Linked DNA regions of Ovis aries. The protein of the gene in region 1 binds, or shares a complex with, the protein of each later gene. Links are inferred from orthologs where the notes say so. Each region holds a gene or a part of one and is shown in the gene's direction. Other genes may lie near its edges.

Region 1 (3,656 bases):
ATTATATGAATTTATTCATGCAGTGATTCATTGCAAATCACCAAAATGTTTTACTAGCATGTTTCTTGTTTAACACTTTGTGTTGGAGGTTTACCATTTCCACATTTTAAAGGTTTATTTTGGTAATTTCATATTATATATTGTCACATAAGATCAAAATCCATAATCCTTGGGACTTCCCTGACAGTCCAGTGGTTAAGACTCCACCTTCCAATGCAGGGAGTGTTGGTTCAATCCCTGGGAACTAAGGTCCAAAATCCGATGTACAGCAAAAAAGAATTTATTTTTTAACGTTATAATCCTCGGGTTACAAGATGACCTCAACATTAATCAGATTTATGACTGTCAAGAAGAAATGAAGATACTTCAGTGGTTTGCCACTTTCGTTTGTATGCGGACTGATTTTGGCATATAGCTGTGTAGCTTAATAGTCGTTGGAAACTAAGTGGTGCTGATTAGCTCTGCTCTGTGTTTTCCTTTGTAGGGTTTTGTGTCCAAGACTTTGGATTCTGCTAGTGCTCAGTTTGCTGCTTCTGCTTTGGTGACATCGGAACAACTGATGGGATTCAAGATGAAGGAGGATGTGGTGCTTGGAATTGGGGTGAACGGCGTCCTTCCAGCCTCAGGTAGGGAGAGAGACGTGTCAGCACGTGATTGTTTTTGTGACCTACGTCAGTGATAAACCCAAAGCAGAGTTGCGGTTGTTGAGCTGCATCTTTCCTTTTCCCTAGGAGTATACAAGGGCTTACACCTCAGTAGTACTGCACCCACAGCACTTGTCCACACGAGTCCGTCGACAGCAGGGCCGGCTTTGCTGCAGCCTGCAAGCGTGACCCAGACTGCGGGTTCCCACAGTGCGCCGGGTCACCCGGCGACCGCTGCCAACTCCGCCACAACTCAGGTTCTGATTGGGAACAACATTCGATTGACTGTACCTTCATCAGTTGCCACTGTAAACTCTATCACCCCTATAAATGCACGACACATACCTAGGACTTTAAGTGCTGTCCCGTCGTCTGCCTTAAAGCTGGCTGCTGCAGCAAACTGTCAAGTTTCCAAGGTCCCGTCGTCATCCTCTGTGGATGCCGTCCCACGGTGAGTAGTTACCGAAGCTCGGAGTGTTGAAAATAAGAGATCTAGCTTAAGTTCTCTGGCACTGCTCTCTACTTATTTCTTTGTGTTTTGTTTTTCCTTTCTGGTTTTCTGGGGAGGTTTTCGTTTGTTCTTGGCCATGCCTTGTGACTTTTGAGATCTTAGTTCCCCGACCAGGAATTGAACCCGAGTCACAGCAGTGAAACCACTGGACTGCCAGAGAATTCCCTATGTTTTTTGCTCTTTTCCTTATATACGTTAAAAATGTATAGATGAGAATTCCTTATTTTTGTAAGAACTAAACAGGTAAATGTTGTAATTACATACTGCTGAGAATTTGAACTAAATGGCATATAGTGAACATAGCATCTATAATTGGGACATCATTTTCTTTGTATAATAAGAGCTTATTAAAAAAAAAAAAAAAAGAGCTTATAGTACTTTCACCTTTTATTCCACCTTTGGATGGAAGGAGTTCTCTGTAGAATGTTTCTTTTGCTCATAATTTCTTCCACAGCTTTTCAAGTGGACAGAATTGATAGAACCCACCATGGCTAGTCACTAAGCTGCTCTGAATACTGTAAGCAATGTAAAGGGTTATAGTATTCATGCCAGGTCAACTTCTAATCAGTTATTTTATACTGTGCCAACTTGTTTTCTTAGGTTTCAATAGATGGTTTAGAATGTTTGCCCAGGCTCTATTCTGTTTTAAATATTAACAATAATTAAAATCTTGCTGTCTACAAAATACTTTGCTGAAAAAATAAGAGAAAGACAAGGAGTTTTCAGTTTAGTTAGAGGACAAGCATAAAAGTGTGAAAAGTTAAATAATAGAATTGTAGGTAATAGGTAAAAATTGTTCTGGCAGTATCACAAAGCATTATATGCTTGTCATTAATTGTATAGATTGTGGCTATAATTTTAATATATATTTTTACACCCAGGGTATTCTGGGAATGTTCTAGAAAATGAGATTTCATCTTGGTTGGGCAAAGAGGAAAAGGAGAAAGGGAGGGAAATACAGATGTGACCGGAGGTTAACAGGTAACTAGTCTGTCTAGAGATTTGGAAAGGTTAGTGGTAGGAGGAGACTGGACTTTGTCTTGAATGCCAGGCTGATCCATAGATGTCCTCAGCTGGGAGTGGCCCCAGGCAGGGGGGCAAGCTTTGTAGCAGCCGACTATAGCTATTAGTTTCTGACCCAAGCATCCTTTCTCCTTTTGAACTTTTAAGTGTGTGCCCAGTTGCTTCAGTCATGTCTGCCTCTTTGCAGCCCCATGGACAGTAGCCCGCCAGCTCCTCTGTCTGTGGAATTTCCCAGACAAGAATACTGGAGAGGGTTGTCATCCCCTTTTCCAGGGGATCTTCCCGACCCAGGGATCAAACCTGCATCTCCTGCATTGCAGGTGGATTCTTTACCACTGAACCACTGGGGATGCCCCTGAGCTTAAGAAGTGGTCGTCATCTGCTGGAGACTCATCCCATTTTCGTTAGTATTCTGGGTGTAGTTAAAGCTAGTCAATAAATGATTGCTTTTACTTAAGAACAGTGGAAGGGCTGGAGTGGCTAAGACCCTGGTCTTCTGATTGCTCAGCTCCACGTGGGGAAAGAACCAGACTTGAAGGCCTGATGTGAATGACCCTCATTCACTTCGCTCCTCTTTAAAATTCTTAGCAAAAGCCTAATCAAGGAGGAAATTGAAACGCTAAAGTGTGGCTATTCTTTATGCGTTTTCCCATCTAGCTTGCTTGGGTGCTGCTCCAGTCTTAACTGCTAATGTAGTTGCTTACGGAATGTGCAGCACAAGCCTAACTTCTGGTCTTGTGCCCCTGATAATAAAGCATCAGGGTTTATAGCCCTCTGCTTGCCGTCCTGTCCCAAAAGAGTCAGATTTCTTTCGGTTATTGAAAACATCTAGACCTTTCATTGGGAAGATCATCTCGATTGATTAAGTTGACTGCAGAGAAGTAATCTATTGCCCTCTTTTCTTCAACAGGGAAAATCATGACTCAGAAAAGCCAGCACTAAACAACATAGCAGACAACACAGTGGCGATGGAGGTGACGTAGCTCCTCAGGAGCGGAGCCGCAGCCTGGGGACTTGACTAGGTGCTATGCATCGGGAGCGTTTCAAATGCAAGGGATGGTGGAATGCAGCACATGCGTTTCTGTGGCAGCTGTGGGGACTCGACAGCAGTGCTCATCTCTCATGCTTCAACTTTTCTTTTCTTACTGTTAATAGGAAAAAAAAATCAACATCTGTAAATTAAGAATACAGCAATTATCTGTACAGTACTGCATATTTGTAATACCCTTGTATATACGTTACTTGAATACAGAAATGTTCATTTGTGATGCTTTGCACTTGGGGGCGGGGGGGTGGGAGGGAAATAAATTGCAACAAAGAGTGTGAGATGTGAGATTGTATCGAGATGAAGTGTCATCACATCATGTGCATGGTGCGGAACCTGCTGTTTTCTCTATTTATTGTGCCGTGTTTACAGTTTTTTGTACACTGTACCTTCATTGGTTCCTGTGCTGTAGTAAATGTGTTAGGTAGCCGTG
Region 2 (2,748 bases), on another chromosome or scaffold:
TTCCTATTTTATTACTAATTCCAAACTAACCATTAAAAATTGGTGCTTTTACTAATTCATTAATTACCCAGACCTGAAATTGTAGGGCCACCTGTGATTCCTCTCTCTCCTTCATTTACCAAGTTCTCTGTTCACTTTCTCTTGACTCTGTCATCAGCCTAGTTCAGGCCTACCTGGACTTACACAAAAACCTTTGCTGGTACGCATTTTGCTTCCAGGCAGCTAAATTAATCTTTCTTGTTTCTTCTGTCTTGTCATTTTTCCTCTTCAGAAATCCTGAATTTCACCTCCACTGCCTTTTGTAGTTTAATTCATTCTTTCTCTGAAATTATATTCTTGTCGTTTGAGTAACATCAAAAAACTAATTTATGGGCAGGTCTGATGAGTGACTGGGTAGGCTGAGAGTAGTGGGTGAGGGGTAGTGAGGATCAAAGAGTGAGCAAAGAGGTAGTAAGTCACTAACAATTAATTGGTTGGCCCTGAAATAGGATCTGAAATCCAGATTTCAAGAGAGTAGTGTGTGTTGTGCTTTAATAGGCCTTTAGGAAGCACACTGTGTTCAAGGTCTCCATAGAAAACAACCAAATAAAATGTTTTATATATTACAGTGGTTGGAATAAAAACAGGGTTGAATGAGTTCCAGAAAGCAGGGTTCTCAAACCCGTGGACACCAATCTGCCGAAGAAGACAATTTCAAAAAACCAACTAGAAGCAATATGCAAAGAAGTAAAATGAGAGGGTCCTCTGGAAAGAAGACAGCTGGTCCCCAGCAGAAGAATCTGGAAGCAGCACTCCCAGGCAGATGGGGGGGTCGCTCTGCTGAGAATCCCCCATCGGGGTCGGTGAGGAAGACCAGAAGGAACAAACAGAAGACCCCTGGGAATGGAGATGGTGGCAGCACCAGCGAAGCACCCCAGCCACCTCGGAAGAAAAGGGCCCGGGCAGACCCCACAGTTGAAAGTGAGGATGCTTTTAAGAATAGAATGGAAGTTAAGGTGAAGATTCCTGAAGAATTAAAACCATGGCTTGTTGAGGACTGGGACTTAGTCACCAGGCAGAAGCAACTTTTCCAACTCCCAGCCAAGAAAAACGTGGATACTATTTTGGAAGAATACGCCAACTGCAAAAGATCACAAGGCAATGTTGACAACAAGGAGTATGCAGTTAATGAGGTGGTGGGAGGGATAAAAGAGTATTTCAACGTGATGTTGGGCACCCAGCTGCTCTACAAATTTGAGAGGCCCCAGTATGCCGAAATTCTCTTGGCTCACCCTGATGCACCAATGTCCCAGGTTTATGGGGCACCACACCTCCTGAGATTATTTGTAAGAATTGGGGCAATGTTGGCATACACGCCCCTTGATGAGAAGAGCCTTGCATTATTGTTGGGCTATTTGCATGATTTCCTGAAATACCTGGCAAAAAATGCTGCGTCTCTGTTCACTGCCAGCGATTATAAAGTGGCTTCTGCTGAGTACCACCGCAAAGCCCTGTGAGGGTCTACTGACCACTCGCTGTTACGTCTGGTATCTGTAAACGCTCTTTTTGTTCTTAGTCTTTTTTCTTGTATAATTGATACTCTTTAAAATCGTTAATGTATAACAGGGCTTATGTTTCAGTTTTCTGTTTTCTCCTAAACAGAAAATAAAAGGAGTGTAAGCTCCTTTTCTCATTTCAAAGTTGCTACCAGTGTATGCAGTAATTAGACAAAGAAGAAACATTCAGTAGAACATTTTATTGCCTAGTTGACAACATTGCTTGAATGCTGGTGGTTCTATCCCTTTGACACTACACAATTTTCTAATATGTGTTAATGCTACGTGAAAAATGCCCTGATTCCTAGTGCCAAAGGTTCAACTTAATGTATATACCCGAAAACCCATGCAATTGTGCTTTTTTTTTTTTATGGTGCTTGAAGTAAAACAGCCCATCCTCTGCAAGTCCATCTATGTTGTTCCTTAGGCATTCATTCTATCTTTGCTCAAGTTGTTGAAGGATGGTGGTTTGTTTCATGGTTTTTGTATTTGAGTCTAATGCACGTTCTAACATGATAGAGGCAATGCATTATTGTGTAGCCATGGTTTTCCGGAGAAGTTGATATTTTAGGAATCGTATTTCAGATCTTAAATAAAATTTGTTTCTAAATTTCAAAGCAAGCAATTTGCAGTGTGTCTTTAATGTTACTGAGCCTGAGAAATCAGCAGGCTCAGGAAAGACCTAGATGGTACTAAAGGAGAGAGTTCCGACTCTTAGTGAAAGAATTCCTTTTATTGTTGGGTGTAGCAGCTGGGATGCACCCTGCCAGGTCAGCTTCTCTTCTCTCCCCTCTGTGTGGCTGCTCAGGGTGGGATTGCTTTCTACTGATGCTTATAAGAGCCACTTTTGTTCCTGAGGCCCCTTGTCTCTATGAGTTGGGCTAGTATAATAGGATATTTAATGGGTGCTGCAACACTCCTTTAAAGTTAGGGAGAGCATTGCTGTTTCCCACCAGAGGAAGCATGGGCAGCCACCTCCAGTATTAGACATACTTGTAGATTTGGGAACAAGGATGGCAGCTTTTCCAGCTCCAGCATTAATGCCATGTTCCCAATGCTTCAATAAACCCTTGGACATAAGATTGGGAATCCTAGAGTTAGGGAGTCTGTGGAGAAGAGGGACAGTGTTGGACACCTGTGACGATAAATCTGTCTTCTGTGAAAATCCCCTAGTCAAACGAAGTTTTGCTTCACAACACTGTTACTACTTTAG
Region 3 (2,684 bases), on another chromosome or scaffold:
GTGCTCACTGTGCCTGGCAGGAGCAGACAGGATACCAGAAGCACCAGTTCAGGCAGCTCCTGGGGGCAGGGGGTATTCACTGGGAGGGGCCAGGAGTCCCTGCCACTAAGGAGGCAAGCGTGGCCTCCAGTTGATTGGTCAGGACTCTGCACGCACACCTGCCCAGCAAAGCTGAGTGAGAACTCCAGTGTGCCCCTTCTCTCTTCCCTGCTTCCTGCCTCCAAAGCAGAGGCCTCTCTGTCCTCCCCACCAGGCTTTTTGGTGGAAGTCACAGGAGGTTGGGCAAGAGGGTCAGACTGGCTAATAAAGACGTATCAAGGGGAAAGCAGAAAGGCTACGCTCCAACACAAGGCTCGTGATGACTGAGGGTGAAGAAGGGCTTCTAGAAATAGTGGAGACATCTCAGGGCCCTGATGGGAAAAATGACTCTGTCCAACAGATGTGAAACTGCTCAGGGTTTTGCAGGGCTTGAGGGTCTCACCAGGAACTGCCTGCTCAGTGGTCACCCGCGTAGGAGGGCAGAGCAGTAGAATTGGGAGGGAGAGCGCCCTGGCAAAGGCAGTTACTGCTGAGGAATGGCCTCCTCTGACTGGGAAGTGCTTTGGCATCACTCCCCTTAATTCCTCCCAGCCACCCAGCCTGGTCTTAGAGCCGCTGATGGTTCTCTGTTCACAGCTGGGGGACTGTTATGACTGAGAATCTGAGCATCCTCAGGCCTGGACCAGAGGTGGGGCCTGGCCCACTTTTCTCCTCACATACCCAGTGTGGTAGGACCGAGGAAAACTGGAGGCACTTTCTTTCCACAAGCCATTCTCTGCACTTCCCCGTCCCACCTGTAAGCCCTTGCTGGCTCCTGGTTGACTGTAGCTTCAGCACACAGCTGAAGAGTAGGCGTGCTAGTCCTTTAGAGCAAACTAAGGCACTGAACAGACAAGCCACATACCCAGACCACAGAACCACCACGTGGCAGGCCCAAGACGGGGCCATGCAGTCTGCCCGATCGCCTGCGTTCTTAAGACACTAGTGGCATAATACTGTGATCGTTTATCCACCTCCTCCTGCTCCATTGCTTTAGGCTATGAACTCTCCAAAGTGGAAGGGAAAACGGGGACCCCTGAGAAGCCCCTCTCGGACCTTGGCCTCCTGTCCTACCGAAGCTACTGGTCCCAGACCATCCTGGAGATCTTGATGGGGTTGAAGTCAGAGAGCGGGGAGAGGCCACAGATCACCATCAAGTGAGCCTGGCCCTGCCTACCCCGGGGTGCATGGCATGACCTTCTGTTCCCGGGCTTTCTCAATCCTTGGGCTACTGGGGCCTGGGCAGAGATGGAGGCCCCCAGGGGACCTGATCTTTGCCCTCCCACAGTGAGATCAGTGAAATCACCAGCATCAAGAAGGAGGATGTCATATCCACTCTACAGTACCTCAACCTCATCAACTACTACAAGGTAGGGAGGCAGGCAGGGGGAGACAGGTGTGTGCAGGGATCCCGAGTACAGGCCCGCCTGAGCTGACCTGCCTGGCCCCATCTCCCGTCCAGGGCCAGTATATCCTCACCCTGTCGGAGGACATCGTGGATGGGCACGAACGGGCTATGCTCAAACGGCTTCTTCGGATCGACTCCAAGTGTCTGCACTTCACTCCCAAGGACTGGAGCAAGAGGGGAAAGTGGTGACCGGACGCTGCCCGGGGAATGCCAGCAAAGGCAGCAGAACTGAAGCTGGCAGCCATCTCGCCCCCAGCAGGGTCTCCAAGAGGCACACCAAGGGAGACAGGGCTGAGGACCACTCCAAAAGGAGAGGACGGGCCTGGTCAAGGCTAGCTGGTGCCCAGCACCAAGGCGAGCTCAGGGCTCATGGCAACTCCACGGTCAGCTGGCTGCAGGCCCAGGCCTGCTGTGAACCAGGGACCAGAGGGAGCCAGGCAGCTGTGTATATAGTAAGAGGGGTGGGTGGGGTGCCTTGTACAGAGGACTGACGGCTGTACAAATTTCTTTTGTAAAGTAGGAGCTGGGGTGTGGTGGGTACTGGTTGCAAAATTATGGCCTCTTCTGCCCCATTGCCCCCTGGCAATAAATTGTTCCTAGAGGTCAGAGCTATGGAAGGTTCTGTGGGAGAAGGGGCAGTGTTGGCAAACTCACAGGTTCTGTGAAAAGCTCCTTTATTGGGTGAAGGACTCTGGCTTCACACTGGGGTGAGGGGTTCGGTGGCTTTCAATGTCAAGCTCTGGTTCTCAGTCTTCGGGTACCTGTGCGTGAATCTGCAACAGGAATCACCTCTACTATTGGATTTCTGCAGTATAGTGACTGGGTGGCCCAGATATTCAGAATCATAGCCCTTCTAGAAGGCCAGAGAAGAGTGCTGGGGAAGCCATGCTGTCCCTACCCAGTCTAATCCTCCAGTCAGACTGGGTCTCCATCTGCCCCATTGTTCGCCCCAGCCCCAAATTCACTCAGGCTGGGGTGGGGCCGGGGGTGGGGGGGGGTGGGTTCGGTGTTAGATAAAGCCTGGGAGGGAGAGGGCCCATCCATCTACTCACCGCTGCAGCGAGGCTGGGCCAGCTTAGGGCCCCACGCAGTTTGGCATCCGGACCAGGGATAGATTCCAGGCCCCACACGGTGAAGCTGCTGAAGCTGGCTGTGGCTCCCATAAAGCGGTCCTGGGGGCCGGGAAGGGGCCCTGGCT

Evidence for each region.
Region 2: EPC1 (region 1) and MORF4L2 share a complex: the UniProt entries of both Homo sapiens proteins name them as parts of the nuA4 histone acetyltransferase complex. The link is inferred for Ovis aries from reciprocal best matches to the Homo sapiens genes EPC1 and MORF4L2.
Region 3: EPC1 (region 1) and KAT5 share a complex: the UniProt entries of both Homo sapiens proteins name them as parts of the nuA4 histone acetyltransferase complex. The link is inferred for Ovis aries from reciprocal best matches to the Homo sapiens genes EPC1 and KAT5.

The regions. Positions count from the first base shown.
Region 1 is NC_056066.1:32,594,012-32,597,667, forward strand, and holds part of EPC1 (enhancer of polycomb homolog 1), read left to right. Parts: intron 1-484; coding exon 485-626; intron 627-731; coding exon 732-1,095; intron 1,096-3,088; coding exon 3,089-3,161; 3' UTR 3,162-3,656. UniProt on the Homo sapiens protein: Component of the NuA4 histone acetyltransferase (HAT) complex, a multiprotein complex involved in transcriptional activation of select genes principally by acetylation of nucleosomal histones H4 and H2A.
Region 2 is NC_056080.1:129,260,948-129,263,695, reverse strand, and holds the end of MORF4L2 (mortality factor 4-like protein 2), read left to right. Parts: intron 1-608; 5' UTR 609-632; coding exon 633-1,496; 3' UTR 1,497-2,156; downstream 2,157-2,748. UniProt on the Homo sapiens protein: Component of the NuA4 histone acetyltransferase complex which is involved in transcriptional activation of select genes principally by acetylation of nucleosomal histone H4 and H2A.
Region 3 is NC_056074.1:40,324,813-40,327,496, forward strand, and holds the end of KAT5 (histone acetyltransferase KAT5), read left to right. Parts: intron 1-1,075; coding exon 1,076-1,235; intron 1,236-1,366; coding exon 1,367-1,448; intron 1,449-1,540; coding exon 1,541-1,675; 3' UTR 1,676-2,092; downstream 2,093-2,684. Other genes in the region: RNASEH2C (ribonuclease H2 subunit C), read right to left, coding at 2,452-2,658. UniProt on the Homo sapiens protein: Catalytic subunit of the NuA4 histone acetyltransferase complex, a multiprotein complex involved in transcriptional activation of select genes principally by acetylation of nucleosomal histones H2A and H4.